Linked DNA regions of Pelodiscus sinensis. The protein of the gene in region 4 interacts with the protein of the main gene of each other region in a pairwise test. Links are inferred from orthologs where the notes say so. Each region holds a gene or a part of one and is shown on either strand. Other genes may lie near its edges.

What was found.
Region 1: the proteins of DISC1 (region 4) and SPTAN1 interact in binary tests that used the Homo sapiens proteins (3 or more experiments, as listed by UniProt). The link is inferred for Pelodiscus sinensis from reciprocal best matches to the Homo sapiens genes DISC1 and SPTAN1.
Region 2: the proteins of DISC1 (region 4) and RANBP9 interact in binary tests that used the Homo sapiens proteins (3 or more experiments, as listed by UniProt). The link is inferred for Pelodiscus sinensis from reciprocal best matches to the Homo sapiens genes DISC1 and RANBP9.
Region 3: the proteins of DISC1 (region 4) and YWHAZ interact in binary tests that used the Homo sapiens proteins (3 or more experiments, as listed by UniProt). The link is inferred for Pelodiscus sinensis from reciprocal best matches to the Homo sapiens genes DISC1 and YWHAZ.

Annotation. Positions count from the first base shown.
Region 1 is NC_134732.1:11,491,260-11,498,792, reverse strand, and holds the start of SPTAN1 (spectrin alpha chain, non-erythrocytic 1), read right to left. Parts: upstream 3,126-7,533; 5' UTR 3,052-3,125; intron 1-3,051. Other genes in the region: mRNA export factor GLE1, read right to left, coding at 7,531-7,533. UniProt on the Homo sapiens protein: Fodrin, which seems to be involved in secretion, interacts with calmodulin in a calcium-dependent manner and is thus candidate for the calcium-dependent movement of the cytoskeleton at the membrane.
Region 2 is NC_134712.1:106,033,819-106,041,849, forward strand, and holds the start of RANBP9 (ran-binding protein 9), read right to left. Parts: upstream 3,039-8,031; 5' UTR 2,692-3,038; coding exon 2,271-2,691; intron 1-2,270. UniProt on the Homo sapiens protein: May act as scaffolding protein, and as adapter protein to couple membrane receptors to intracellular signaling pathways. Acts as a mediator of cell spreading and actin cytoskeleton rearrangement.
Region 3 is NC_134712.1:35,253,068-35,261,037, reverse strand, and holds the start of YWHAZ (14-3-3 protein zeta/delta), read right to left. Parts: upstream 3,091-7,970; 5' UTR 2,996-3,090; coding exon 2,970-2,995; intron 2,564-2,969; exon of another isoform or gene 2,430-2,563; intron 640-2,429; coding exon 336-639; intron 1-335.
Region 4 is NC_134713.1:124,055,452-124,063,111, forward strand, and holds the start of DISC1 (disrupted in schizophrenia 1 protein), read left to right. Parts: upstream 1-4,558; 5' UTR 4,559-4,643; coding exon 4,644-4,698; intron 4,699-4,754; exon of another isoform or gene 4,755-4,974; intron 4,975-7,660. UniProt on the Homo sapiens protein: Involved in the regulation of multiple aspects of embryonic and adult neurogenesis. Required for neural progenitor proliferation in the ventrical/subventrical zone during embryonic brain development and in the adult dentate gyrus of the hippocampus.

The DNA.
Region 1 (7,533 bases), on a different chromosome or scaffold from region 4:
CTTCCTTTCTTCACCACATGTAATTTGGAATGATTGTTATGTAAGCTGCTGCACGCACAACACTCTCCCCATGCAACAATGTTAAGAATATCTATCAACTGTAATTAAAACAATTGAGAATTGACTTAGGATGCACACAATTTCCCATATCCAAAATTAAAGGAAAATAATGCAAAAAAGAAAGTAATCTCAGTTGGTAATCTACACTTCCACACACAAATTCATCAGACTGGGTGATTTTAAATACAGTCTCAGAAAACAACATGATTAAAGAGAAAGCTTTATATATAAAATCTCCTCCAGAATACTTAAATTCACATCCCATGTAAAATATGTGCGAGTAAACAAAATACGTGACGGAAACTATTTTGGGGGGAGGGATGATTGTTCAAGGAACAAGTGAATTAGTAAGTATGGCTGATACACTGAATTTTAATCTGTTCAGTTCCCTGCATCCTCTGCTTTGCATTTTCCATTGGTATACTGCAATCCATGTTCCTATATATGGACAACTGCAGTTATGTGCCTCTGTGTGTTCTGAAGCAAGTGCATATCTAGCACAGCATTATCATCGTTTAGGGCAAATCCATTACAGTAGTAAGAAGTCAGATTGTCACTTTGTTTTGATCTATGGTCAGCAACAGCCCATGGTGCAGTACTGCACTTGACAGCCTTCCTCAAAAGACATCTGCAATATGCTCCACTCCATTATTCTTGTGACCGGTCCAGGAACACGTTAGGGGGAGGGAGACAAAAACTACTGTATCAGGGGAAAAAAAGTCATCTTAAAATTACTTGCCTTAGGTTGGTGAGCGAGAAAGCAAGCAATTCACATCCCAAGAATAAGACATATTTTATCCAAAAATATATGATAAATGAATAGTATACAAAGGTCTGACAGGTGAAATTAAGGCAATAAAGAATTTTAAAATTATTTTCATGAAGCGATGAAAGGGATAGTTTTAAAATTGACAACTTGCAAATATGAGCAACACCCAGAGGTGCAACCGTCTGAAAAGACTGAGACTGTTCTTACCTTGCTTGCGCATCGGGACAGATGGTAAACAAGATTTAATGTTGGATGGGGTTAATACCAAATTTAAAGGTAAAATAAAATGTGTTTGTTCATTTCAGCTACTATGAAGATCATAGAGGCACACCTATCTCTTTTTTTATTGTTGAAACTTGGTTTGACCTTTCCAAAGGTAAGATTTCTCTTACAACAGAAATGGAATTAAATTACCCCATTCTGAGCACTACTGAACCTCTTATTAGTTCAATGATTTTACACAGTCCAGTGGCTCCACTTACAAAGCCTCCTAGTTTTTAATCATTTTTTTCATTCTTTTCCAAACACATTTTATAAATACCCTGTGAGCTCAATACAAATTTCACAGCAAGCCTGATTTGTTAATCCCATAAAAATGCAGGAGACTGTCCAGGGAGGTTTTTTCCTGCATACCATTTGTCACATCAACACAACTGTCTTCCCGAGTCTACTTAAAACCGAGTGACAAGTTGCTCACTAACCATGTATATTTTAAGATACAATTTTTCAGTGAATGATTTAATTAAAGAATCCTGACTGGAGAGTAAAGTTACTGTAACATTTCTGCTGCATACACATGGACATTTGAAATACCAAATAAAGATGATTTTAAATATTAACACGATTACATTAGTACCAACATGTATTTCTTTTACTATGCATAAAACAGAACAAACATGGCTGACATACTCTTGATTTATCAGAAATATGTTATGTTCCGTAATTGCAGGAACAAGGTGAGAAAAGCAAAATCCTGATTTATCTGATTGTAAAGAGAGACATGATCTTCCTCCCTCCAGGCCCCATTATGTCAGGCATCTCAAGTCTTGCAAAGTCACACATTTGGAAGGGGACAATCATTTTAGGAGATTAATTGTAAGGCTTTTAAAAAGCCTCTTCCAGTTAGGATGAAGGATTTTCCTGTGTGCACTTCAATCAAGCAATTAAAACTTGCCTCATATAGTAAAGACCAAGATTATTTAAAAATACATATTTATCTTGGTCAATAAATTCTCCAGCCACCACCTAGAAATACAGAATCTCTCATTGACTTTTCTGTGTCTCCTGACCTTGGACAGTGGATGGGTTTGTGAATGCTTAGGGAAGCCATTGCTCTGAAATGAACCCATTGACAGGGTCATTCGAGACATTCACAGCCTGTGTTCAATTTTTCTCTCCAGATTTTTCTTCAAAAAAGGGGGGGCAGTAATTAGGCTGAGACGATTGCTTCGGGGGGGAAGCATAGCTCCCTTACTCTTTTTTTGGGAGTGAGGGGAGATTTGCTGGCACTGCTATTTATCACCGTGGTTATTCCCTCCTTAGGGCAGTGAATGAAATTCCTGCTACTGCGGCTGAGAGCAACACAGGGCGGATCCGCCTCGCTCTCTTTCCCACACAAGAATCCTCTGGTCTTCCAGCCAAACAACCTCCCTCGCCCATCAGGGAAGAGCAACAGAAACGCAAACCGCTCCCTGCATTGCTACTCCACCCTGAGCTCGCCTATACTCAAGCGAGCCCAGAAAGACGGCAGGGGGAGAGAATAAAGAGCGTCTCTCTGCAGAGACTAGGTTCACTGGGGTGTCAAGCAGCGAGCCTGGGAGAAGAGGGGAAGAGACTATCAAAGCGCTAAATCCCTCACGGGGAAGCCGAGTATCACTACGGATCCCCCGCGCCTGCCGGGGGCGAGCCCCGGGGAAGCGAGAAGGCAGGCAGGGCGGTGTCGCGAGGCACCATCGCTTTCCCAGATGAGCTCCCGCATCCACAGAAGGAACCAGCACCGCTACCCACCCAACCTTCGGCCGCCCTAAAGCGAGCCTCAGGGAAGCCGGGGTAACGGGGCTGCGCCCGCAACGCCCGTAAAACCCACCGGGAGGGGCGCGCTACATTTCCGCAGGCTAAAGGACCCGGGGAACCGTGGGAGAACCCAGCCGAGCTCGCCTTCGAGCAGCCCGCCCAGCCCTCGCACCGTCGAAGAGAGAACCAGCCCCGCGCTCCGACCTCACCAAGTCTATCGGAAGAGTCCACGGCCCACAGTTCTCCTCCCGACAGACTCCCCGCGCGCCGCCCAGCTCCAGCCTTTATAGAGGAGCGGCCCGGATATGACGTCAACCCCGCAGAACGGGTCTCTAGCTACGGAACTACTCGAATAGCTCCGGACTCAACCGAAGAGCGAGGGCCCCACCCCGCTGAGGCAACGGCTTTCAGAACCTGCGCACGGAAATAGCCGACTGAAGCCGAAGACGCCACCCGCAGTACGGAGAAATCCGAAAGGCTCCGAAAGGCTGGGAGAGGTTTGCGGAGGCTGTTCTGCTGGGCGCAGGGGAAAGCTGCAGTGGCTGCGGGCGGTGCCTGGGCTGCTCAAACAGGCGGTTTGGACTTCCCACAAACTCAGTTTCTAGCCCGCGTTCCCTGCAGCACAGACAGAGCGATCTCACACGATTGTAAGGCCTCCCATTGAATGGCATCCCCTCAAAATCCGAGTATTATTTGAGCGGAGACTACTGAAGTCGCTTACTTTATAAGGAAAGATTTAAAACAAAAGATAATTGAAAAGGTGCATTCATTTTTTCCATCAGGGGAATGTTTATTTTCATGCTCTTAGTCCCTCACTTTCAGGTTCCTGCCTGTAGCACACACTTGTAAAGTTGAACAAAAAAAAGCAGAATGTTTACATAAAAACTTTTAATTTACAATAAAAATGAACATGAAGCAAAGTTTAGATTTTTATAATACAACTAAAAGGTGCAGTGGCACCTTCAATTTGCATTACTGTTAAAGATACAAACTGTCTACATTTTAGACTCCTATGCAAGGTAAAAAGGATCCGTTTCAAAATATTGAGCATTTGCATAGCTGAGAGGTTTTTCTTTTTATATAAAGCTGGTACACAGAGCAACAATTGAAAAAAGTCTCATTTTAATAGAAACATTTGATGCTGTAATTATACCCTGTAAACTATGTTGTTCTCTGTTATTTTTAGCTAGATAGCTCCAGTAAGTCAGTTAATATATGGGATCAGAGTTTTGAGGTTTTGTTCTTTATTAAAAACACAAACATACATTTTCTTTCAACTCCTGTGAAGGTTGTTAAAGCAATTAAGCTAAAACAAAAATCTTCTACTGACATTGCATCAATACCTATAGGACTGCAACAGAGGAAATATGAGTCACAGCAATTTAAATCCAATTAAGTCCTCAATGTACAACAGTATTTCACGTCTGAGATTTCCCATTTCCACCGTATTTTAAATGAACATGCAGTATATGTACTTAAAACAAATCCTTTACATGCATTTGGAATTATGTAAATACATGCCATTACATTTTGCATTGAGATGATCTCTAAATATCCTGGACTAGGGCAAAATGGCCAACACTCAAATTGTCAAACAGTAAAAGCAGTTGCAACAGAAACTTACCTTAGACATCACGAGATCCAATGAGCTACCACCTTTTTGGGGGTAGCTCATAATTGTCTCTAGTAGTGCCTAAAGTATGGGTTACATTTTGATTATGCTAATTACATAAAGTGGAAACATTTTTAAAAATACATTTATTGCTGCATTTAAATATAGTTTCAAAAATCATGGCAATCCATTGCAAAAGCCTTTTTATACCTAAGGCAGAAAATCTCAACATCCTTATGATATTTATAAAAGCATGCACCGTCATCAATATCCCCAAATAACTAAAAATATACAAAGCTTTCTGCCTTGCATATTGTCATAAAACATGATCCATACAATAAAAATCTATAATATTAAACCAAAATATTCAATATTTTCAGTATTAAACAGAAACATTATCCAAGATGGCCATAAGAGTAAGCATTAGATAGTAAAAATGAATGAAGAGAAATGTATTTAATTGCATTGTAAAGAATAGATGCTACACTAAATAAATTGGAACAGTGGAAGAAATTTTACAAGGCACTAGATCTTGAGTACCTTATTGCTCTTTGCACTTTTGACAATTTCCTCCTATATCCTTTTAACAACATTATATCTAGAACAGCTATCAGTATTACCAACTCCAAGCAATCAAACTTTAAAAAAATAGTTTTCTTCTTTTATCTAGGAATTTTCCCCATGCATTTCCTGGGAAAGTTCAAGATATAAAATTTAAGCTATATAGATATATATTAAACACTGTAGTATAAGTTTTGTCAGTAGATCATCTTATATGCCCAAAATCTTGCTTTAAGTATTGTTTGTAGTAGTGTTTTGTAGAGCAGTGTTTGTAGCAGTGTTTTGTGAAAATCTTTGCTTCAGTGGTCATTTCCCAAATACATACAGATCACGTAATGAGATTTTACTTGTTTTCCTCTCTCTCAGAACTTGCTCTTCATTCAAGACATTTTTGGAGGTCTCAGTGAAAAAAATGCAGTAACATATGACAATGTAAAATCCTGTTCATTTTGTTAGAACAACTTTTACCTGAACTATTGAACTATTTCTGAATTAAAGGGTCTTCAAATATACAAAGGGAGAGGGGAAAAAGAGAGAGTCTGGTTGGTTTGTGGGAAATCTATAACAGTGAGTGATAGTTAATTCTAGTACCTAATTCAAACAGAGCCTAAGACAACAGCAAGCAAGTGGCTACCATATGATGGCTGTTAAGTGGCCTACGAAAAATGAGTCTGTTGGTGTCCAGTCCAGCGATTTGGAATCCAGCTCAGTTCAGCTCTCATTACAAGGCTGTCAATACTCAGCAAAGAGGTCCAATATCAAATAAATATGCAAAATGAATTAGCTCCTCAATACTAGATATGACCCTCCAGTGTGCAGTTGAAGCACATGAGCAGTGCAATGAGGGCAGGTGGAGGAAGATTCTGGATCAAAACCTGAAATGCTATACTATGTGCAATGATAGACATGTTTCCACATTGTCCCACCCTATTTCTGAATAAGACACCCTCTGGTTAGCCATATAATTTAATATTAAATCTCTTCCTGTCAGAGAGTGTCAATTATCTATCCAATTACAATATAGAGACCTGTCCACTAGAAATGGGGAAAATATTAACATATAGCACATAATCGCTACCTCTTCAATAGCCTCTCAAGTGACGTACTTGCACTCCCCCAGCTGTCAAAAATAACATCAGCTTGACCACCCAAAACCGCATTATTGGTAGTCATCTATTAGGGATTCCCAGAAACTTACTTGGCACCATCACAGGCACCAGCAGAGAAAAGTAAACTGCAGCAGCTTTAGGTTAAAAAAAAGTTTTAAACTTCACATCCTTTTCAATTAGAATCTAGAATGAACCATTCTTACGATAATTCACCATTACACTCTTACTATGAAATTATTTCAGTACTTCCATACACAAACTGTAGTAAAACTAATACAATCCATGTCAGTCCAAATTAAAGGCTTTTTTTTCCTACATAGGTCGATACCATTGTTCAGTTCATTTTTAGATAAGCCAAGGGGATAGTGTCTTCTATTTTCTTCATATAATAGCACAATATTATTACTGATGAAGACACAAAGCTGTTATGTGCTCTTTCACCTTTGGGTTTTTTTACAGACAAAAAAAGCTTTATTTCATATGGTGGACAATGGGTGCAGAGTTCCTTCTAGTTTCATGAAATGCATAGTAAAAATATTATACACATTAAAAAAAACAAGAAACAAAAAACAGTGAACTATTCTTCAGAAGCCATTATATTGTCTATATAGGTGTAAAACCAAGTTTAACGCATATAAATAAGGAATGTTGCATCATTAGCAGAAATCAGAATTTCTAAGTTAAAATGAAAGAGCTGTTGATTTTAAGGCCCTCCCTGAGGAAAGATGGAGATCATTGCTATCTCTAAGAACAAAGTTGCATGTGACAGATGTCAAATCAGCCTCATTAACACATCTGCTGCTTCTTTGGACTTTAGGGCAGTCAGATACAAAATGAATTTTCACATGGACTCTAATGCCTTTAATACAAACAATAACTTTAAAATACTTATACACAAGTTTTACAGAAGGATTTCTTAAATTTAGACCTTAATATAACTAAGGTACTGAGGTATTTCTATTGGCAATTTCATGTAAAAACTGACAGACTGATCAGAACAAAATTTCTGCCTTAAAGCCACTGCTTAATGTTAATCAACTCTGAAGTATAATGGAGTATTTAGACTAGTTTATATATGACAGATTCACTGTATTTGTTCAAGGCATGAAGGAGTCTCTCACATTCCATAATACACAATAGAGTCCATAAAGCTAACCAAATGCAAACAGAATGGCATGAAATAATATGCAAAGTAAATTAGAGGAGAAAAGTTACTGAAGCTCCAATTTCTATTCAACATAAAATATGTTGAAAGATAGGTAAAAAAATGTTTCAGTTGAAAATATCCAGAGTGTCCATATATAAATACAAAGGTAGGGTTTACATTTCTATGTATTCTTGTCCCTGAATGTAACAGGAAGCCAGATCAGAAAATTTCTGAATGCCTGTGAAGATGAAAATGGGATTTA
Region 2 (8,031 bases), on a different chromosome or scaffold from region 4:
CCAACCTGTAGGACATTTTCTGGAAGGAGAAGTTGCTATAGGCTATGTGTTTTACAGTTACTCCTCACCCCACTCTATTTCTGTTCCACATTCTCCTGGACTGGTCTGGTGATCCCTACTGGGATCATTCTTCACCTCTGAATCAGGTACGGTTAACAGTAATTAGTCAATGTACATTTATGACAATTGTCTCCACAGTTCCCAAGTGCCCAGTGGTCACCATGCAACCATTATATAAATATAAAATCCTATTTAAAATGTTAACCAGTTAAAACCGGGGGGCAAGGCCACCACACTACAGCAGTGGTCAGGGGCTGATCCCGCCTGACTGTGCAGGGCCTGCCACATCACCGGGCTGCTCCAGCGAGGACACCCATTGGTTAACAAGTTATCCTGGTAAGCATGCTTGTAAGGCAAAACTTACTGGGTAACCGATTAACCAGCTACCCCTTTATATCTTTGGTAACTATCGATATTTCAAACACACATGATTACATTCTGAAAAGGATGAGGAACAGAAAAAGAAAAACAATATTTTCACATTAAAAAAGGCCGGAAAGATTCTATATCTACCTGTTTGTTATATACTGTGTGTTTTTAAATAATAGTTTACAAAGATACAATAGGAAGACCAGCCATCCATAAAGCCCCACCCTGGCCAAGTGTAAGAGAATCCTCATTGCAGCCAGATCCCAGTACATACAAAATACTCCTAAAATATTTAAAGTCATACAAAGCCAAACAAAAGCCAGAAACTTCAAAGATAAAAAACACAATGTTAATTTTAACTAACTCTTGTTGTCTTCCAAATAAAATACAAAGAAGAGCCTACAATAAGGCTTATCAAATTTGAATGTACTGACTTTCATAAGTTTGCCTCAAACTTTGTGTTACTTAAAATGAATATTTTGTTTTTAACAATAGATTAGTGTCTGCCTGTGGTAGATTTTACAGAATACACCTCACCTTTCATGGCAGTCATGAATGTTGTATGTTTTGTGTGCCATTTTCCTCCCATTTGAATCAACCATAACATGTTTTTCAAGACTTCACTTGAATTTCAGGGTTATTCTCCTTCCCCTCTATACTCATTTTGACTGCAATCTGACCTCCCTTTATTGCCAATCAGAAACTGTTTTGAATCTGAAGCACTTTTACATAGGATTTGGGCCTGGAATGACAGAATTTTTTTTCCAAGTCAGGGTAAACTCAAGTTACTAGCTTTTATAATATTTTTCACAACTATCACCAGTTAAAGTACCTTATTGTCATCTCTGGTAGATTTACATGAGTGTATATGATTTGGATATCTTTTCTTCTGAAATAAAAGCCTTACAATATTGTAAGTTGATCTCTGAGAAACCTGAGCACAGAGTATGAGATTAGGTCACTCCTACATTTTAAATTAATTTTGAACATTTCCTAAAGCATGCTCTACATTACATATAGTATTTACCCAGGGACTATTATTAGGGGCTACTTTAAATTATATTATTTCATACACGTTTCATTTTCTACAGACCAAGAAGTATTTTCTCGGTGGCTTCCCCTCCCTGCCATTTCCGTGTTTGGTAGTTTTACATGTACTGATCTTATAACTCCCTATAGCCCTTGTTCTCACTTCTAAATAAAAAAGCATATTTTTTGTAGACAGACACATGACACCATGCTGATCCTACTTTATTCTCCTGCTTGCCCTCAAACTCTCATTTGATAGCAGAATTGACAAGCTGAGGAAGGCTACTAATTTATAGCCCATCAGCCCAAAATCCAGAGTGGGAAAGGAGACAAGATCTGGTGAGCTTTCCCATAGGCTTATACTTCGGGGTAAGAGAAAAAAGAGGAATCCGGATCATCACGCCCATCATGTAAACTGTTTAGGAGATTCCACAAAGATATTTCCCGATATGTCTCTCCCTCCCCCCCAACACACACACCGGATCAGGCTGCTGCCCTTTCCAAGAGAGATTTCCAGGTGAAAAGGGGACCCACTAGGGGACTAGCCTCATGGAGAAGGGGCACTGAGGTGAGAAGCCAGGCGCGCAGGGGGCTGGGCAAGAGGTCCCTGGTGGCCTGCATGTAAACATGCCCCCCTCCCTCCAGAATGTGCGCGTCGATACACAGAGCCGTGGCCGGGCTCCCCGCTCCATGGAGGAAGGCCCTGGGTCCAGGAGCGGGGGTTCCCTCCCCCGTGGGGCCGAGCCCTGGGGCCACGCGGGAGGGGGCGCCCCCCTCGGTGGGCCGGGCCCGTGTCCGGGCCGGGCGCTCACCTTTGTAGTGCACCCGCAGGTTGTTCTGCGAGAGGCCGATGTAGCTGAATTTGTCCTTCGGGCTCCAGGAGCGGGGCAGCGGCGTTTCCTGCTCGTCCACGGCCGGGTAGAGCCGCTTCAGCCGCCGCTTCAGCTCCTTCTCCTGCTCGTTGAGGGCCGGGTCGCCGTGCGGGAAGGCGGCCGGGGCGCTGCTCCCCGCGGGCAGGCCCATGGCGGGCAGGGGCCCAGCGACGGGCGGAGGCGGGGGAGGCGGCGGCGCCGCGGTAGCCGGTGGCGGGGGAGGCGGCGGGTGGAGCAGCAGCGCGGCCGCCGGGGCCGGGACCGGGACCGGAGCGGGGCCGGCGCCAGCGGCGGGGGCGGCGATCCCCGGGGCCTGGGGAGCCGCCGTCAACGGAAGCTGCTGCTGCTGCTGCCCGGACATCCCGGCCTCTGCCAGCTACTACGGCGGCGCGCGGCGGGTCTCCGGGGCGGGCGCGGCGGGCAGGCCCGGGCACTGCGGAGCGAAGCGGTGGGGGGAGGGGGGGCTAGACGGGCAGCCCGGAACCACCGCAGGCGGCGGTTACAGACCCAGGGCGAGGGGGGCCGCGCGCGCGCGCTGGGGAAGGAGGGGGGGGGGGGGTCTCGAGCTCGGGCCGCGGCGCTGGACTGGCTGAAGGAGGCTCAGAGCGCGAGACGCCGCGGCTGGTCCCCAGGCCGGCGCCAGACACTGCCGCGGCGCTGGAGCGTCCTCCCGGATCAGCTGAGCGGCTCCCCGCGGCGGCGCGAGGAGGAGCAAGGGGCGGGGCTTCCGCCAGTCGCAGGGCGCGAGGGCGGCGGCACGCGAGCAGGCGTGAAGGGAGCTGGGCGCTGCTCCGCGGTGGGGCTCGTCCGTTTTCCCGGGCCCTCTGGCCTTGGCCCGGAGGACTGAGCAGGGTCCCAGGCGAAGGGGTACTGTCTGCAGCCAGGGGCGGCTAGTGCTTGCGGTGCAGGGCGATCGCCCATGGCAGCATCCCATCTACTAATTACAATTTTAGTAGGGCCATGGGGGGCGGTGCACCTCCGGAGTGCTACCATGGGTCACCTGTGTCTGCACTCACACCCATGTCAGTGCCAGCAAACAGGAGGTATCTCCTGGCCCACTCACACCTAAATCAAAAGGGTGGGGATGAAGAAATCTCTGCAGACCTGGCTGGTGGTGCCCTCTTGGAGGGAGCTGCCCTGCTGTACCTGTGGTAGCCAGCACCCTTCACATGCAGTAAATACAATCACACTTGCCTCAGGTGTTGATGCGCAATAATCTTCTTTTATAGACTGGGTTTATTGCTTTTAGGCAAAGAGCCTTGTGCTCAGGGGCGGCCCTAAATTAGCTGCCAGCAGCTGGTGCCCTAGGCAAACCATGCAATCAGCACCCCCCATCTCCAAACCCCTCAATGATATTCTGCCACCATTTGGTGCCCCATTGAACTTGGTGACCTAGGTGACCGCCTAGTTCGCCTATATGGATGGACCGCCCCTGCTTGTGCTTTGCAAAGGATAAACAGTTCTGTGGAGGGAGCTGGGCATCTGTTGTTTAACATATTTGATCTTAAAGGAATGATACCTCTTAGATTAATTTTTTCCTGACAATCTATAGAGTTTACAAGGAACATCTGAAGAAGTGGGTTATGCTCATGAAAGCTTATGATAATATGTATATTTTTTTTGGTTAGGCTCTAAGGTGCTACAGGACCATTGTTTTTTTAGTTTCAGTCTAATACAGCTACTCAGAGATCTGTGCTTACTTTACGTGCAGTGGGACTGGAACAGTTTTTATAGTGAGGTTGCTGAGAGAACTATACTGTACATCCTGTATATAATGGAAACCACTTCAAATCAGCCGCGCTACACGGGGTTCAAGCAAGCGGGGATTTAAAAATGGCGGCTCCCCGCTTATGCAAATGAAGCCCGGGAAATTCAAATCCCGGGCTTCATTTGCAAGTGCGGTATGCCTACATTACCCTGCTAGTTCGAACTAGCGGGGTAGTGTAAACATACCCTCTGTATCTGACTCATCATCAGTCCTCATCTTCAAAGTAAATGTACAACATAACATTTTCAAAAGATGGGCCTGGGAGCTTAAACTCATAACTTTGGTCCACACTAAAAAATGAAGATCTGACTAAAGACACTGGATTATGGTTTATTACAACATGCTGTAACCAGCTAGCCCATATTTTTCCCCTCTGACTACAGGGATGTTAACATACCATTTCACCTTGAATGGTCCCCTAATTTAGCATAACTCAGTGGTTCTCAGCTTATTTACCAAGGTGAGCTGAACATACAGCTCTGTGTTATGTGGGCTGCAATCCACATAATATATATAACTAGCTGTATGATCCAGAGAATGTCAACAGGCAGGGCTGTCCTTTGGGGTGGGTGCCCTGCCCCCATTCCACTCCTTTCTCCAAGGCCCATCCCAGGCTCTGCTCCTGCCCCACCTCTTCCCATCCCTGCTCCACCACTGCCCCCAAGCTCCTCCTCCTGCCCCCAAGCAACGTGACAGGAGTCTGCTGCTGGCAGCAGGGTGGGGCCTCCCTGCACTCACCGCTTCCTGGCATTGCTTCCCACTGGCACCAGGCTTCTCAGTTATCCCCTGGGCTCTATCAGTGGGCTACAGTAGTGTGCTGATTGGGCCGCAAGCAGCCCATACTGGGCCGTAAGCAGCCCATAAGCCACAGGTTGAGAACCACTGTTATAAGTAGTTAGCACATATTCTATCTGTTCAAGGTTATATTTAGCTGTCGTGCTCTTCTTGAAGAAGTCTGTGAAAATCAAATCCTTGTGTGTCTCACCACTAAAATGTAATCCAAAAAAAAGATTACATCACCCAGCTTTTCTCTTTAATATCCGGGGATCGACCATTCTTATTATATATACATATATTTTAGCAATAACTGTTTTAATTCTGAGTATTCACGTTGGTCTTACAACTGTCGTAGACCCTTTTTGAATTAGGGATGTAAGCGAGTAATCAACTACTCGACTACGATAAACATAAACGTATCCAATAGTCAAGTGGAGTACTCATAGACTTTAAGGTCAGAAGGGACTATTATGATCATTTAGTCTGACCCCCTGCACAGTGCAGGCCACAGAATCTCACCCACCCCTCCTAGAATAATCCTCACACCTATATCTCAGATATTGAAGCCTTCAAATACTTTGAAGACCCCAAGATGCAGAGAATCTTTCAGCTGTGATCTGTACCCCATGCTACAGAGGAAGGCGAAAAACCTCCAGGGCCTCTGCCAATCTACCCTGGACGAAAATTCCTTCCCAACCCCAAATATGGCGATCAGCTAAACCCTGAGCATATGGGCAAGACTCATCAGCCAGACACCAAGAAAGTTCTCTAAAGTAACTCCTATCATCCCTCCATTGACCTATTTCCCACTAATAATGAACGGTCAATTAGTTCCCAAGATCATGTTATCTCATCAAACCATCCCCTTCATAAACCCATCTAGTTTAATCTTGAAACCAGATCGATCTTTTGCCCCCACTACTTCCCTTGGAAGGCCGTTCCAGAACCTCACTCCTCTAATGGTTAGAAACCTTCGTCTAATCTCAAGTCTAAACTTCCTACTAGCCAGTTTATATCCATTTGTTCTTGCGTCCACATTGGTATTAAGCTTAAATAATTCCTCTCCCTCCCTAGTATTGATCCCTCTAATATATTTAAAGAGAGCAATCATGTCACCCCTCAGCCTTCTTTTGGTTAAGGTAAACAAGCCAAGCTCCTTGAGTCTCCTTTCATAAGACAGGTTTTCCATTCCTCGGATCAACCTAGTGGCCCTTCTTTGTACCTGTTCCAGTTTGAATTCATCCTTCTTAAACATGGGAGACCAGAACTGCACACTGTATTCCAAATGGGGTCTCACCAATGCCTTGTATAATGGCACTTAACACCTCCTTATCCCTACTGGAAATACCTCGCCTAATACATCCCAAGACCGTATTAGCCTTTTCACAGCCATGTCACAATGGCGGTTCAAGTGGAGTACTCGACTACTCACTCTCCCTCCCCATTGCCTTGGTATGAGAGGCAGGAAGTGGAGGGCAGAGCCCAGTGCTGCCTCTCGGGATGGGAGGCAAAGGAGGCTGCTCTGGCCTCTCTGCAAACAGGAACTGCTGCTACAGAGCAATGCCTGTTCACAGCAGCCAGGCTGGCTGTGGGGAGGGGCTGCATCAGCATCAGTCCCTGTTTGTGCCCAGCTCCAGGCACCACAAAGAGGGGCTGCCAGGCCCGGCATGAACTGGGACTGAGCAGTTCCCGCTCATATGGGTGCAGGACCACTGTGCCTCTGCATTTTAAATGTAGTAAGAGCCGCCAAGCTCTTATTACCTTTAAAATGTAGAGGTGCAGTGGTCACAGAGAATGCCTCCCCTTATCGACTAATCGTGTATCCAATTGTATTGACTCCACACTTAGCAAACACCTGTTCCTTAACATCCTTATTTTGAATCTTGCTGATTTTCTGGCAACTCAGCAACTTCCTGTGGCATTGAATTCCATAGTCTAGTTGCATGTTGTGTGCAATAGTATTTCCTTTTATTTATTTTAAATAGGTAGCCTTTTAATGCCTGTCTCTTTGTTCCTGTACTATGAGATCGGGAGAGCAGAAGTGCCTGCTCTGCCTTTTTGCGCCCATTCATTATTCTATATACTTTTATTCTCTCCACTCTTATTCATCTCCTTTCTAAGGTAAATAATCCCAGTCTTTTCAATCTGTCTTCGCACGTGAGTTTTTCCATATTTCTAATCATTGTTGTATGCAGTGGTGTTGCAGCTGTATCAATCCCAGGATTATTAGAGAAACAAGATAGGTGAGGTAATATCTTTTACTGGGACTACTTCTCAAAATCTTGACTTTCTCACCAACAGATGTTGGTCCAGTAAAAGATATCGTCTAAGCCACTTTGCTCCCTAATCATTCTTGTCATCCTTCTTGCAACAAGATCAATTGCCAGGTTCTCATTCTTCTCATATCCTCTTTGGTATGGAGTGACCAGCAATACACACAGTATTCCAGGTGAGGTCACACTATTAAGGCATTATAATATTGTCTGTCTCATTCCCTATGTATCCTAACATCTTGTTTGGTGTTTTACTTCAACAGCATATTGATTATCTCCCCTAAGATGTCCACAATGATGGCCAAGTCCCCTTCCTGAGTTGATATACGCTATATGAGGTTCTAAATTAACTAAACAGTCTACATTTTTCTTCCACTATCTAGTACTTTTCAGTTATTGACATTGAATATCCTTTGTCATCATGTTGTCCATGCAACTTGCTTTTTTATACCTTTCTGAAATTCTCAGTTCCTGCTGGTCTTGACTAATCTAAATAACTTTGGATCATCAGCAACTTTTGCCATGTCACTACTCACTCACCCACAATAGAGGAACAAAGGGACAGGCATTAACAGGCTGTACATTCAAAATGAATAAAAGGAAATATTATTACACTCAGTGTGTAATTAGACTATGGAACTCATTGCCATTAGAATATCTTTTATTGAACCAATTTCAGTTGGCAAGAGAGAAACAGGGGAAGAAGTGATTAAGTTACAGCTACAAAGCATTTAGAGTTTTTTTTCTATCTACCAGCTTGATTTTTTTTTCCATGACAGAACTTTGCCTCTTGTTCCTTGATTACTTAGCTTCTAAAGTAGCCTCTTGATGAGCCATCCTGTCAGAGACCCTTTGAAAGTCTAAATTATCAGCCCGTTTCTCT
Region 3 (7,970 bases), on a different chromosome or scaffold from region 4:
ATATTTTTGCTTATTTACAAATACACACAAAATCAAGAAATCAATGGAATATAAAGTCTATGTACAATAGAGTTTAAACATATTTGCAAATATGTTAAGAGTTGATGCCCATGAGAACTTTAATACAAGTTTTGGAATTATATATTTAAGGATGAGGCGCCATCCAGTTATCCAACTTTGTTTTTCAGAAGTGGTGGTATTTGCAAGATTTGGATGCCTTGCATGGAATGCCTCAGTTTTTAGCAAGGGACTGAAAAATAGCTGAACAGGGTCAAAACTATTTATCCCCTAATATTAAGAAAACATGAATTAAATACAGTTTTATTATCTCTCACCAGCACATCATTGCAGATATCTCTTAGCTCTGTCTCAATTTTCTCTCTGTATTCTCTGGCCATCTGCTGTTTTTTCTCAGCACCTTCCGTCTTTTGTTCAATACTTGAGACGACTCTCCAAGATGACCTACGGGCTCCTACGACATTTTTGTAAGCAACAGAGAGAAGATTCCTCTCCTCATTGGACAACTCAGCTCCTTGCTCAGTCACAGACTTCATGCAGCCTGCCATGTCATCATATCTCTCAGCCTGCTCAGCCAGTTTGGCCTTTTGCACCAGCTCATTTTTATCCATGCTGATTTTGCTGAAGAGGGAAAACACGAAGGCATTATTCAAACAATATTCATCAAGGGCAAAATAGCCTCATATATATAAAACAAGTCTTTTTTTAAAAAAATATGCAATATTCTAGCTTGTCATTATGCAATTAAGGCACTCTAAATTGGCCCTGAATGCTGGAATATATATAAAACTAGTGACTTGGAAGTGTTCAAGCTATGATATTTCTACAAATTCAAACCTTTATTTAATTAGTACTGATAATCATTTGTTAAAAAAAAAATCACCACATTCAGAATGTTAAGGGGCACCATTTCTGTGCTGTTCAAGTATGTAGTGACAACTCTTGCCACTGCTCAGAATTCTCTTCAGACTTCCAAGCAGCATCATTAACTTCTTCAGTTGCATTATTCTGATGATTAGAGAACAAATTGAGAGAGCATCAGTAACTTACCCTTAAGCAGTTCAGAGAAAAAACACCCCAAAAAATGAAAAATAGAAATTAAAAAAAAACCCTCCAGACTGAAGTAGTAGCAGAGAACTCTACTCCCTGAAGAAGTCTGCTTTTAAACTTTCAGACACCCAGAGGTTAATATTACAATTCAGGCCCTAATTATACACCCATGCTAGAATGGGAGACTCTAAGCTTCTCACCTGGGCATTGCTCTTCTAACTCTCTAGTGATGGTTTGATGGGTTAAATTGCTCAATTTGAGTGAAAACCATCATTGAGATGCAAATGTTAGTTGGGTGTGTTGTAGCCCTTCAGGACTGCATCTTAACAAGCCCTTTCAATCATACTAACCTAACTTGATTAAAGCACACCCTTTTGTATCTCTAACTGGTCAGAATCTTCCCCCCCCCCACACACACACACTTCATGAATTTTTGGCTCCTGATAATTATTTTGAGCCCTACAATATGCACTAGCTATATGGTTCATTAGTATACTAACTGCAGAGGCTAAAAAGTGAAAAATCATTTCACCTAAGCATACTGTGTTTTTATGTTACATATTCCAATTGCCATAACATTGACCCCAACAGTTTTGATTTGGCTTATACAAGTGATATTTCACATAAGACTACCTGGAATAGAATTTCTTGTATTTAAACTCAATGAAATAAATTTGGATCTTTTTCAGAGATCAGATCATCTCAAGGTTATTTATAGCACGTTTCAGTAGCTGTTTTAACCAACACTAGTTGCTCCCATTTCTCTGTAATATTTGCCAGGGTGGTTTAAGGCCTTTGACCATACTGCAAACACTGCTAAGAAGCCATTTTACAGAATGGTTTCACCTACAGCTGTTACCACCCAGAATAGATTAGACAGGCAAATAGTTAAAATCTTATCTGAAAGCCAGTTTATCAAACTGTGGTTATTGGCTAGCCAACGCCACTAGACTAGCACGCCATGATCCTAGCCAGCACTGCTGCACTTTAACAGAGGAAAAGCTACTTTAATGAAGCACCGCGAGGATGGGAAAATGCCAGTCGATTTCTCTATACACTAGATCGTGTCTTGACAGCATAAAATGGTGCTGTTGAGCTCGCCGCAGCGCAGGGCCGCGCTTGCAGTGGGCACGGCTACACGGAGCGCGGGCGGCGGGGAACTGGGCGGCTACAACACGAAATCGACACGGCGTGGGCGAGGAGGGACGACCGGGCCAGACTCCTCCCGCCGCCCCTCCCGCGCTGCGGCCGCCGCCGCATCCGCCCGGCTCCGAGACAGGCAGCGCCTCCGCCGGGCTCTTTGTCATGGCGGATCCATGCCAGAGCCCAGCCCACCGGGCTAACGCGCTAACCCCGCTCACCTCAGCCCAGCGCCGTGGGGAGGCGGCCGCCGAGCCCCCGCCCCAACACAGCGACGGAAGGGAAAGCCGCAGCCACGGGGGCGAGGAGCCCGCCCCACGGCGCCAGCGCAGTCACCGCCCTGCAGGAGCTGCCGCGGCCACTCGGGAACCCGGCACAGCGCCCATTACACTCCCCGCGGCCGGGGCCCCCAGTGACCAGCGCCGGGATCCGGGGCGGGGCCACCGCAGGAGGGGCCCCAGGAACCCCGCTCGGCCGGCGGGAGGCCACACCCAGCCAGCGAGCCGCCCGCGCCCTGCCCGCAGGGCCCCGCGCGCCCAGGTGGGGAGGGTCGCGCCTGCCTTCCCCAAGCGCCCGCTGCCTCCCCGGCCCGGCGAGCCACCCCCCGCAGCCTCACCTGCCAGGGCCCGGCGAGAGCAGCAGCCCCCGCTGACCCTGCCCCGGGTCACACGCTGCTGCCCCCGCCTCGCCAACGGCTCCGCTTCCCACTCCCCGGGCAGCCGCCTAGTGGCCGGGACAGGGCGGGGCGGATCCGGCCTCACCTGTGCAGCGGCGGCCGAGGCCACATCCGCAGCGGCGGCACAGTTGCCCGGCGGCCGGCTCCCCGGCGCCCTGCCCTCGGGAGCGCGGCGCGGGGAGCCGCCCTGCTGCCTGCGGAAGGACCGCGGGGGGAGGGGGCCTCCGCTGCCCCGCCAGCTCCTTCCGCCCTCGCGGGCGCCCCGTGGGACTAGCGCTGCCGTGGGCCCGGTTACCTGCGTAAGGAGGAAGCGGCGGCGCGAGTGTCTCTGGGCGAGTAGCCGGCGCGGACTGTACCTCTAGCCCTGCTGCTCTCTCCGCTGCAGCCTCTCTCCAGCGCCGCACACGGGGTCTCCGCCAATCACTGCGCCGCAACGCACGGGCACCACACTGCCCGTGACGTCAAACGGGGCCATGGCAACCGCGAGGGAGCGAGCGCCTGCGCCCGCGCCTTCCCCTCCGCCCCACAGAGCGGGGGCCGCGCCAACCGCCGCTGGCGTCGGCGCGCGCACCACCGCGGGGGACACGCCTAGCCCGGCCACCACAGCCCCTGCCGCGGGCGCGCGCGCCTCTGCCTCTGACTGCAGCGCGTGAGTGAGTGAGGCGCCTTCGCGGCCCGCGCGCCGCTCCCCTGGCGGCGGGGCTGGGAGAGGCCGCGCACCGAGCCTCCCATCCCCCATACCGCCCTGCCACTCTGCCGCCTTCTCCCTCTTGCCGGCCGGGCCCGCCCTGGGCTGGGAGACCAGCCTTGCTCGCTAGGGGCGGGGCCGATTCTCAGTTCAGACAGCCCCGACTGCGGCGGCCTTCCGGAGCCCGGGCTCCCATGTGCCGCCCCACGTTGCAGAGCCGTCTGAGGAAGCGCGCGGCTCGGAGGGGCGCTTCGGGGAGCCGAGCTCTGCAGCACAAAGCCGGCATCCATCGGTCTGAGTTGCAGGCTGCTCCCATCGCGGGAGGAGCTGAGCGCCCGACACAGCCAATCCACAGCAATAGCAGAGGCCAGCCTAGCGGCCTTGCTGGAGTCTCTCGTGCGTCTCCCTTTCTGGGGTCGGCGCTCTGCTGGGCTAGCCGGGCTGGGCTTTCGGGAGGAAGTGTAGGGAAGGGTTTGAGAGCAGAAAGGGCTTTGAGCCGTGAGCGGGACTTCTGGGAGGAAGGCTTCCTCAGAAAGAAAATTGCCACATGATCTAAAAATGGTCAGGCTGCAGTTCCCCGATCAGATGATCGACAGCCAGATCACCTTGCCAGAAAATGTTTTGTCCCCCCACCCTGCACACTGGGGCCCTCCGTGGACTAAGAGGAAAAGTTGAAAGAATTGGGTATGTTTAATCAGAGAAAAGACTATTGGGGAGGGACATGATTACAGTCTTCAAACATGTCAAAGATTATGATGCTCCCCAGGGAATTCTGCTCCAAAAATTAAAAATTCTCCACTAAAAAAGTTTCTGCCTATAATATGCAAATCTCATTGTTGTCAATAAATGTGCAGGCACCAGCATGGCAGTGCAAAGCAAATGCCCCTGGCTGCATGGAGATCACCCTACAACACCTCCCTGCTCTCCATAGAATACGGACTTGAAGGTGAAGGTGAAGCTGCACTGAACTCTGACTACACTACCAGTTTAGGTCAAACTTAGCTGCATTAAGTTGATTTGCTAAACAAAGAGTCCACATCACCAACCCCATTCCCCTGACTTGAAGGGCTGTTAAAGTTGATTGCAGTACTCTTGCTTTTTGCAAGAAGCAAAGTTAAATTCGATGTTTTGTTAGTCTATAAAGTGCTACCCAATCAGCTTTTGTTTTTTAAGTTTAACTGTAGGGTAGTGCAGATACAGTGCTTTAAAAGTCAATGTTCTTGGCCTCTGGAAGGTGTCCCACCGTGCCCCCGTGTAGCCCCTAGGGCCAGTACTTTCAATTTAGCTCATCTCTGAGTATGAAGGAAAATCCCTGAAAAAATGGGGAAGATGAATCTATGTAGGTAGAACTATGAACCAAAAAAAGAAATGCTGATATCAATGCAAGATTACACAGGGCATGGTGGAAAAAGGATACACCAGGGATGCCCAGCAGTGCCACATGGAAATAAAGAAACTCAGGCAGCGTATCAAAAGACAAAGGAGGCAAATGGACAGTCTGGGTCTTCCAGAACAGAAGACTGGAATTTCCTCTTCAGTGATTTCTCTCCCCTTGCCCCAGCTCTCACTCGGAATTCCTTTTCAGTCTCTGCTTTCTTGTGATCCTTAAATACAAGTTTCTCTACAACAGTATCTTTATTGCTTTTGTTGCATGGGGGAATAGGGCAGATTGCGCCGGTCACAGGGTTTACAGGCCAGCACACTTAATGCAGGGGGCATCTCCTATAAAGTAACATACAAGATTGCCATATCACTGTCTGGTCATTCACAAACCTGTTTTTCAAAACCTCTCTGATTATCAGTGTCCCTTGCTGTGTTCACCTTATTGCCCTGATGTCTGGTTTCTCACAATTAGTGGCTAGGCAAGTTGCCTCAAGTCCCACCTCCCAATCTGACATGAAATTTCCCTCCCTTACTTTCAGAAGTGTTATGCATACGGTAACCATACAGCCCTTTTTTTCCAGGACAGACCCAGATTTAAGGGTTCTGTCCTGGTGTCCCAATAAAGGTGGCAAATGTCCCAGAAAACCTGTTGGGATCCAGCTACAAACAGAACTGCCATTTCCCACCCTCTCTGGGGCTCCCTCGCAGACACCTAGTACTAGTGCAGTGCAGCAGTAATGCCCCAGCACCACTCAGCACGTAAGCGGCTCCCTTGTTGCTTTGCGTGGGAACCCAGGATGGTGCGCAGTGTCCAGAGTGCCAAGCTCCCCTGCAGCACACGCTGCTGTCCGGCACGCCCTTCGCTCCCACCATGGGACTGCCTCTGCCGTGTGCAGCCTCCAGCCGGCCTCCATCATCCACAGGCGGCTGCCGCTGTTGGCGGAGGGGGAGGGGCGCTGGTTGGAGCTGATGAACCACTCCTGGGAGCTGCTGCCGGAGTCCCGGCAGAGACCACGCAGAGCCCAACTGGAGCTCTGCAGAGCAGGGAGCGCTTGGGCTCTGCTGGTGCACTCTGTGCACGGCCCTTTCTCCCCCCACCCCTTCCTACTCCGCTGGGGGAGCGGCAGTGCACGGACAGAGGCAGCAGCACAGGGCAGCAGCCAGCTCCCTGGGAGCAGTGCTGGCAGGCAAGAGGAGATATATGCTGGGAGCTGGCTCCCCCAGAGTATAAAGCTTATACTACAGAGCCTGCAGTGTAGCTGGTTCCCCTGGAGTGGGTCCAGCAGCTAGGAGCCGGCTCCCAGTGTGTGCTGACTGCCGCCCCTGCTCCCGGGGAACTGGCTGCGCTGCAAGCTCTGCAGTATACTGCAGAGCCCACAGCATGTAATCGTGTAACCCAGGGGTTCTCAAACTTTGTAATATCACGACCCCCTAAAATTCTAAGTGAATTTGTGTGACCCCCCCATCCTCACTGCTACACAAGCAAACGGGGAGTTGGGGGCAGCAGGGCTGTGTGGGGGAACAGGCCGGCGGAAAGCAGGGCTGGTGGGGTGGAGGGTTGGGTGCAGTGAGGCTGGCTGGGGAACATCAGGAGGAGGAGGGGAGAACTGGCCACTGGAAGTAGGGCTGGCGGGGGCAGCAGGGCTGGCCAGGGGAGTTGGGGGGTCATTGGGGCTGGCCAGGGGAGATCGCGGGGGAACCGGCCAGCGGGAAGCAGGGCTGGTGGGGGGTTGGGGGCTGGCTGGGGGACATCGGGAGGAGGAGGGGAGAACTGGCCCCCGAAAGCAGGGCTGGTGGGGTAGCGGGGCTGGCCGGGGAAGATTGGGAGGAGAAGTGGGGGAGAACTGGACGGCGGGGGGGGGGGGGGCGAATTTGCCGGCGGGGAGCAGGACTGACCCAGGCACGTGCAGATCCCAGGGTGCTGCCCGTCCCACGCATAGTCTCGGCAAAGCGCGAGTGAGTTTGGCTGAGGTTCCACAACGCGCTTGACCAGCGCTCAGGAACACGTACAGGGCTTCCCCTCCTCCCCAAGGTGTCACACGCAACCAGAGGCTCTCAGTGCTGATTGCGCCCTGCCTCCCAGCCACTCCTCCCGCCTCCTCCAGGCTTCCGTCGGGCGCCCAGCCAGAAAACTAGAAAATACTGGACATTCCACATGTCTGGTATTTTTTCCATTTTTTTACCGGACTATCCCAAAACCCCCCAAAAATGGAATGTCCTGTGACCCCCTCCCCCAAGTTGCTTGTGACCCCCCTGGGTTTGAGAAACGCTGGTATAACCACTAAGATTTTCAGTGGTTACATGGTTACTTAATTAACCATATTTAACATCCCTAGTCCAAGTGCACATTCTATCCCCATTCTACACTTGCTCAGCCTATAACTGCTCTTTAGTGTGGTCCAGACTGCCTGTGTACAGCTTCTTGAGCAAGCGGTAGGTTGAGTCACTAAGGATCACAATTGGCATTTCAGTTCCTCCAATGGTAATTTTCCAGTCTGGGAAAAAAGTTCCATCCTGCAGCTTTCTGAAGAGACAGGAGTTCCTAAAGATGAGTGCATCACACACCTTTCTCGATCATCCCACATAGATGTCAGTGAAACAACCCTTGTGATCCAACAGCACCTGCAATACCATCGAGAAGTACTCCTTGAATTTTCTGTGGAAAGGTGGTCAGTTGCCAAGTTAGGGATGTGTGTTTTATCTGTTGCCCTTCCACAGTTAGGGAATCCCATCATGGCAAAGCCCTCTACTGTGTCCTGAATGTTTCTCAGAGTCACTGTCCTTCGTAGCCGAAGGGTAATGACTGCCTTGGCTACTTGAATTACAGCAGCCCCCACTGTAGATTTACCCACTCCTAATTGATTCCCAGCTGACTGGTAGTTGTTCAGCACTGCAAGCTTCCATAGGACTAATGCCACTTGCTTCTTAACTGTCAGAGCGGGTCATTTTGGTATTGCTGTGCTTTAGAGCTAGGGAGAACACTTCCATGAAAATAGCCTTATGCATGTGAAAATT
Region 4 (7,660 bases):
CTGCTATGAGTTTGACATATTTCTGACAAAACAGTTCTTGGGGCATGAAATGCAAGCTCCACTTAAATCAATAGAAGTTTTGCCATTGCCTTCATTGGAGTCAGAATTTTTCATCAAGTGCTCTGACTTTGAAAGAGATAAAGTTTTATACTCCTGCATCTTGGCAGGAGGTTGGACTAGATGACCTTGGCTCCCTTCTAAAGCTATGGTTCTATAATTATGTAATGAAGAACGTCTCTCATTCAAACCATATCACCAAACACTCTGCAGAGTCATTGTGAACATTTACAAAGCTGAATAATACACATGGCCAAATTTAATCTCATCTGCTCTGTCCATGATGTTTCCAAGGTTCTGTCATTAAGGTATCTAAGGTAAGTGCTGATAGCTTGGTGGGAATAAAATTAAGAAGTGTAAGAAAGGAAGAAAAGTGACATTTGCAGTTGTTTTGAAAGGAGAGGAAGGAGTTGATGAGACACAGAGCTACAGGAAACCTATTCCAGATGGCAGCAGGTGTAGAGGAGAGTATTCTTACAATGTTGTTAAGGTTGCATGAAGGTACTGTACAAAGGAGAGGTCAGTTCCTGACAAGCAGAGGAACAAGAAAGGGAGAGAGGGGCCCATGGTAGGGTTGAAAAATGAAGATGTCAGTTTTGAATTTGATTCTGTAATTAGTGGGGAGTTAGCAAAGTTGTTGGAAAATGAGAGTGGGATGGCCTTGCACAGCATATAGTGGTCACCATTAAAAAGGCAACATCTGCCAAAAATCACGCAAACTATCGGAACTGCTACAGTACTGTCTCCTCCAGGCTAAAATAAGAAATAACTGTGTGGCATCTGCTGGGAAATGTTGGCTTTTTAAAGGCATTCACTTTATGTGGGAATACAGCAACATTCCACACATGGATTAAAAACTGGGACATGAAGATATAGAGAACAATAGTAGAAGTGAGGGGTGATGAATATATTGATGAGGATTGTAGAAGATGCTGCATCCTAACTTTGGTGTACATGGATACTGTGGTGGTAGAGATGGTGATAGGAAAATATATAAACATGGGAGATATGAAAGAAAGCAGAATTCTGACTGAAGCCAATAGAAGATTAAGACAAAATCACAAGTTTACCTGGTCATAGTAAGCAATTAAAGGTATCAAAAGAAGTAAAGTTGAGTGCATCAGTGCAAAAGTGGTGATGAAGGTTTGAGATGGAAGAGAAGTTAACTAAGACCTGGTCTAGAATAGACCCAGAAGGTTGATTTAAGGTGTACAACTCCAGCTATGTAAATAATGTAGTGAGAGTAAACATACCTTAATCTGAGCTTGGTGCTGTCTTCAGAGTGGGAGGTTGATGGGCGCAAACGCTCTCATTGGCTTCCTTTACTCCTCGGGACTGCGAGGAGTACCAGTGCCAACCAGAGGCGCCCTTAGTGTTCGGTTTAGGCCAGAGATCAATCTTCTGGCATTTGATTTAGCTGGTCTAGTAAAGTACCTTAAGCCGACCTTCCTAGTCTAGTATAGACCTGGTATAAGAGAGAAAAGGTAAATAAAAAATAGTACAGAGATGGCACCTAGCCTTTTTGGGGAACTCAGAAGGTGGGCAGAGGGGGGTTTCTCAGGATAGATACTGGTGGCTGTAGTAAGATGGAAGAGAAAAAAAGATATCCTCAGAAAAGTGATGGCCTTAATACACAAATGAGGGCAGTTTCCCTGCTTTGGCCTGAGTGAAACTTGAAAAATACATTCCAAGTTCCTCAGAGACTGATGGTATGTGATAGCTGTGTATTAGAATGCACCTACAACAGTTAATGTTTCTGTTTCTGACATCCAAATCCAGACTGAAGAATTCAAACAGCACATATAAACAACCTTAATTGAAAGGATTCGTTCAAGCATATATACCAGATATAGTTAATCTAATTTGAAATAAATTAGAGAAGACCATGAGATACATAAAGAGGAACATAATTCTTAGTGAAGAATTAGTTAATGAAAATCATAAGCCACTGAGATGCATTCAGCACAATGATTGTTTCCAATATCATACACATAATTGTATGCATGCTTTCTTCAATGTGAAAAGGAAAAATTCTACAACAAGCAAAATACAGTCCCACAGAAGAACTCCTGAGTGTGCACAGAGACTACGCTACTGAAGTGTACCACTGTAGATTTAAATTTAAGAGCAAAACATTCTGCATGTAGAATACACATAGGCACTTCCCCAAATAAGGGATGGTATAAATTACCCAGTGCTTCCAGAAGTGTAAGGGTGGATGTTTACTACTACAGTTCTCTGTGTAGTACAGTGGATTGGCCCTGCATTCTGGTCCCTTTTTGCAGGCTGGTGTAAAGGGCTTGGGACTGTGGTTTTACCTCCTCTCTTCCCTCATTGGAGCATTGTGCACCACTAGGGAACTAAATACAGAGTAGCCCCAAGTCACTCTGAGTTCAGGGACTGAAAATTTGCCTGAATTTCATTTGGGCTAAAGGAATATGAATGAGGATAATCAGGGCCTCAGTGAACTGCAATAATTTCAGTGAACTACAAGCATTTTTACACTGTAAGACTGGCACACGTCCTCTTTTCAAAAGAGTTGAAAAATGCTCTTAATCTGCTATTTTGGCTAATTTTTCCATATCACACAAAGGCAGATATTTCTCTCTCTCTCTCAGGTTTATCTAACTTCTAAATAGGCTTAGCAGAATTCAATTTTTATTGTATAATTTCAAGAGATATTATGATAGATACTTATTTTAAGTATTTTTTATTTTTATTGATTTAAAATTTTCACACTTGTGGGAAATTATGGGGGTGTCAGACAATAATGATATAACGATAATAGATGTTGAGATTCAAAAAGTTAAAGTTTTCTAGTCAGTAAGCCATAATTTGTAAGCATCAAATACCAAAACATACGAAAATGTTTGCAAGCAGCAAACGTTGCCTATCTTGCACATTTCTATTATTTTTTATGGCAGTATTTTCCCTTGGTTTGTGTTTATACAATGAATTGACTTTTACAGACATTGACCGATAAAAATCTCATCCTTATATGCCTTCTCAAATCTGTATCAAACTCAGGACACTTGAACATAGTGCATAATAAATGGTGCTAACTTGGCTAAAACTAGTTAAAATGAATTAATTTAAAGGTGGAATCTGGAGTCTGAATCAGTCAGATATGTAGTGTACAATCTGAGTCCAAAATTAAAATAAATATCAGGAGATCTAAACACGACTACTTATCTAAATAAGAATAAACCTATGCATAAAAATTTGTATTTCCTTATTTGCAAGCTCTTTTGGGCAGGGAATTTTGTCTATGAAGTACCTGACAAACTGTGGGTGTTATATAAATAAATGTACCAATTATACAAAGATAAACCCAGCATTTCATTGCACAAATTACTATGAATTAGAATACTTGACTTTTGCAACTCTGTTTGGAAGTTGCAAACTGCATACGACTGACCCTAATGAGAATTTACCATTGAAGTAAAATCTCTTTAAAAATATTAGTTTTTGCATTTTATTTGATATGTATGTATATGTGATTTGAACAGATCTGTGGTTGTTGTGTGGATGTATGTCTTTTTGGATGTGTGACATGTATGTGTAATATTTGTGTGTGTTGTTTACATGGCACCTTCTTCATTACATAATCCTGATTAATTTCTAGCACTTTCCATCCTTTGTACCAAATGAGTGTCTTGTAGAAAAAACAGTATATGATCATATAACTAAATACCGTATACATGGGCAAGCTTAATTTTTGCATTTACTAGCTTTGAAGTACTCAGTAGCAACCTTAATGTTATTTTAGCATATACTTTTCGGATGTAATATACGTGTGATGTGCAAAGCTGTGTTGTATATGAGTGTGTAATATATATATATATGTGTGTGTGTGTAGTGTTGTCAACTCTTACAATTTTATTTGTGAGTTGTGTTACCATTTGTTTTCCTTGAAGACGGAGAAGCTGGAATTTATGCTTAAATAAAAAAATCTCTAGTTGTGGAGAAAAGTTTGAAAATATGCTCCAAGTGCACACTAAAGACTCAAAACCCAGAAAGCCAATAAAACCATATGAGACATACACACAGGGCTCAAAAACATAAAGCCAATAAAACCGTCTCTCTCTCACACCCACAACACTTTTTCTTAAAAAAATCATATTGAATCAAATCTTATGCTTTTTGAACTCTTGAGGCTGCATGTGAGTGTATATATGTGTATATGTGTGGGTGTGTAGTGTACATGTGGTGTAAACATGCAATGCATGGGATTGTATATGTGGAGTAAGATATATTCCTATATGTAGATCGATGGTGTGTATGTGTCAGGTGTGGATGCATATGGAAATGAGGTGGTGTGGGGTGCACGTGCTGGTGTGGGGAATATCGGCGGTGTGTGTGCATCTCTATCTGTGGGCCGTGTAGCTGTGATGAGGCAGTGAGAGGCGGGGGGCCGGCGGCTCTGGGAGCCCGTGAGGGGAGAAGGGTTTGGCTGCGTGTGCAGGGGGCCGGGCTGGGGCGTGGCTCGCGGAGACCGTTTGTCGCGGCCGGTAGGGCCAGGCGGGGGCGCTGCGGGGCCGCCTCTGGGCCTGGGGCCGGCGGCGGCAGCGAGTCCGCGGCGGAGGATGTGGTGCGGCGCCAGCGGCGAGAGGCGGCCCGGGCGCGCAGGGCTGAGCCCAGGTGAGCGCAGCCGCGAGCTCGGGGCGCGTTACCGGCCGGTGCCCGCCCGAGGGGCGAGCGCAGCAGCCCGGCCTCGGCCCCGCGCCGCCTTGGGAGCCGTTAGCTCGGGGGTGCCAGGCGCGGAGCCGGGGCGGGGCGGCGGCAGGCAGGGGCCGTGGGGCTGCGCTTGCACCCGGCAGCCAGGGCCGCGCTGTGCTCGGCGCTGTGCAAGCGGGGAGCCCCAAGGGACCGGATCAGCCTGGGGGCGCCCAGCCCCACGCTGGTTAGCGAGCCTGGGTGAGTGGCTGGGCAGGGTAGGGTCGGGGTGACTCGAGGGGCGGGTTGGCCGCTGCTTTTCAGCAGTCATGGAGATCAGGACTTTTTTTTTTAAAACTTGGCGTTTGTCCCCCTGTTCTTGCCTTGGAGGGGAAGGGGGATGAGGAATGTTTGAGCAAAAGCAAGTGGGACAAATATCCAGATTTTCCAAAACAAGTTGTGATGTCTATAATCAGCTGGGCAGAGTGGCCACACCAGGTGGTTCTGGTCTGATGAGCTACCTGGAGTCACTACTTACCCAGCATCCCGTTTTCAGTTTAGAAAAATATGGTGACCTTAGTTCTGGGTCCTTCTGCCAGGGCTGGATAGTGTCCATGAGGCTTCCATCTGGGAGGGCTCCTCTTGCTCTAATGTTCTTTTCTTCTTGAGCAGACTAGAGAAGCACTATCAACACCCTCAAATCCCTGCCCCCCAAACAAAACAAAAAAACCCCACCCAACCTAATAGAAACCAGATTGGATATTTTAGCTCAGCTGCTCATGGTAGATGGCTTTGATTTTAAGGGAAATTGTCCTCTGCTTAAATATGAACTATCCAAATAATTTTAAAAATATAAATATTAAAATAAATTATGTTCATTATATTCTTCTTTGTACAGTACTTGTAATGGCTTTTCTGCTAATCTGCCTATGAATCTGTTGCATTTCTAAAACAAATTTATCCATGAACTGTTTGTTCTCCCGCTGAGTGTTCTAAATAAAGAATACCTGGTCTTTACCATGTGTGGATCTCAAAACATAATGGCTGTGTCTAGACTGGCATGATTTTGCGGAAATACTTTTAACGGAAAAGTTTTTCCGTTAAAAGTATTTCCGCAAAAGAGCGTCTAGATTGGCACGGATGCTTTTGCGCAAAAAGTGCTTTTGCGCAAAAGCATCCGTGCCCAGTATAGACACGCTTTTGTGCAAGAAAGCTCCGATGGCCATTTTAGCGCAAAAAATTAAGATGACTGTATACACTGGCCCGCGCAAGAGGGCTTATCCCTGAGCGGGAGCGTCAAAGTGTTTGCGCAAGAAGCACTGAATTCTTACATTAGAATGTCAGTACTCTTGCGCAAATTCTCGTGGCCAGTGTACACAGGCAGCAAGTTTTTGCCAGTCTAGACGCACCCAATGGATATTACTGTATTAAACAATTTAAGCCTCAGTATTCTTGTGGGTTATTATTCCCATTGTGTGGATGGATCTTTAGTTTGTTTCACTATGTTCTGTGTAATCAGCTGGTCAGTTTCTCTGTTTGTTTGTATGAAAGTTAAGGAGAGAGCAATATTTTTCAAAGCAGGAAAAGATGCCATTGTAAAACAACAACAAATTGACAAGAGACTTCATAAACAGCATGCCTGCATCTAGACTGGCAAGTTTTTCCGCAAAAGCAGCTGCTTTTGTGGAAAAACTTGCCAGCTGTCTACACTGACCGCTTGAATTTCCGCAAGAACACTGATGATCTCATGTAAGATTGTCAGTGTTCTTGCAGAAATACTATGCTGCTCCTGTTCGAGCAAAAGCCCTCTTGTGCAAATGCTTTTGCACAAGAGGGCCAGTGTAAACAACATGGTATTGTTTTGCGCAAAAAAGCCCCGATCGCAAAAATGGCCCATAGTTATAGTCCTAACAATCCCAGGAGATTAGAGTTGGATATGAGAATCTTTTATTGAACCAACTTTTGTTGGAGAGAGAGTTGGCTTTTGAGCCACACTGAGCTCCTCTTCAGGTCTTCACACCAAAAGCTTCTCTTTGTCACCAAGAGAAGGGACTGGTGTAAGGTCAGAAATTGCCCTTGAATAATTAATATGCTGGTGTCCCTTTAAACATGAAGTAGCTTCTTCCCCCTTTTTTCTCCTGCAGCCCTAGTTCAGCTGCTCCTTCCTCTCATGTTGTAGATGAAATAAAATATTCGTGGTCAGCCTGCTGTTGAGCCTGATGATGGCCTACCAACTTCCAGCTGTGTTTGCCCCGCCAGTTAGCTCTGTGATACTTGAGTACACCTGTGGGAGTGCATATTGGCAAGCCTAGCTGTCTCCTATGGGAATGCAGTGGTTATGATCTTTCACAGGCCCCAAAATGACATGAAATTTTAGTAGGGCACCACTGTATTTGTTTTTATTGCTTTTGTTCAACCAGAAAGCCTGACAGTTTTGAAATATTATTACAAAATATACAATACAGAACTTATTATGTGTGTGGAAAAGTTTCCAGCACTCTTGGAAAAAATATTTTGGCTCTGCAATTAGAGGCCTACATTTTAAGCACAGTGATGTCAGTAGTTAAAATCCACAAATAAGGCAAGCAAACTTAAACTGCAGTAGAGATGGTAGCTTTTCTTTTTAAAGCCTTGCCTACATTAAAAAGTTTGATAAGTTTAAGACAAATGTCTTTTGATTTAAAGTACTAAAAACAAATGATGATCCTATGGGAGCAAGTGTCAGATTTTTACAGGTTTCTCCTTAGTTTAGTTTATGGGAACATGGTAACTACAGAACTGGAAAAACTATAAAGAGCAAACAAAGGTCAGAAAGGGCAACAGTAGTTAATTTCAGTGGTAAAAACTCCCAACCTTTCAAAGGCTATGTGCAATTTGAAACTTAGTTGGAATAAGGGATATAATAATGTATCCATTTAAACAGTTAACCAAGAAGCATGAATGTATC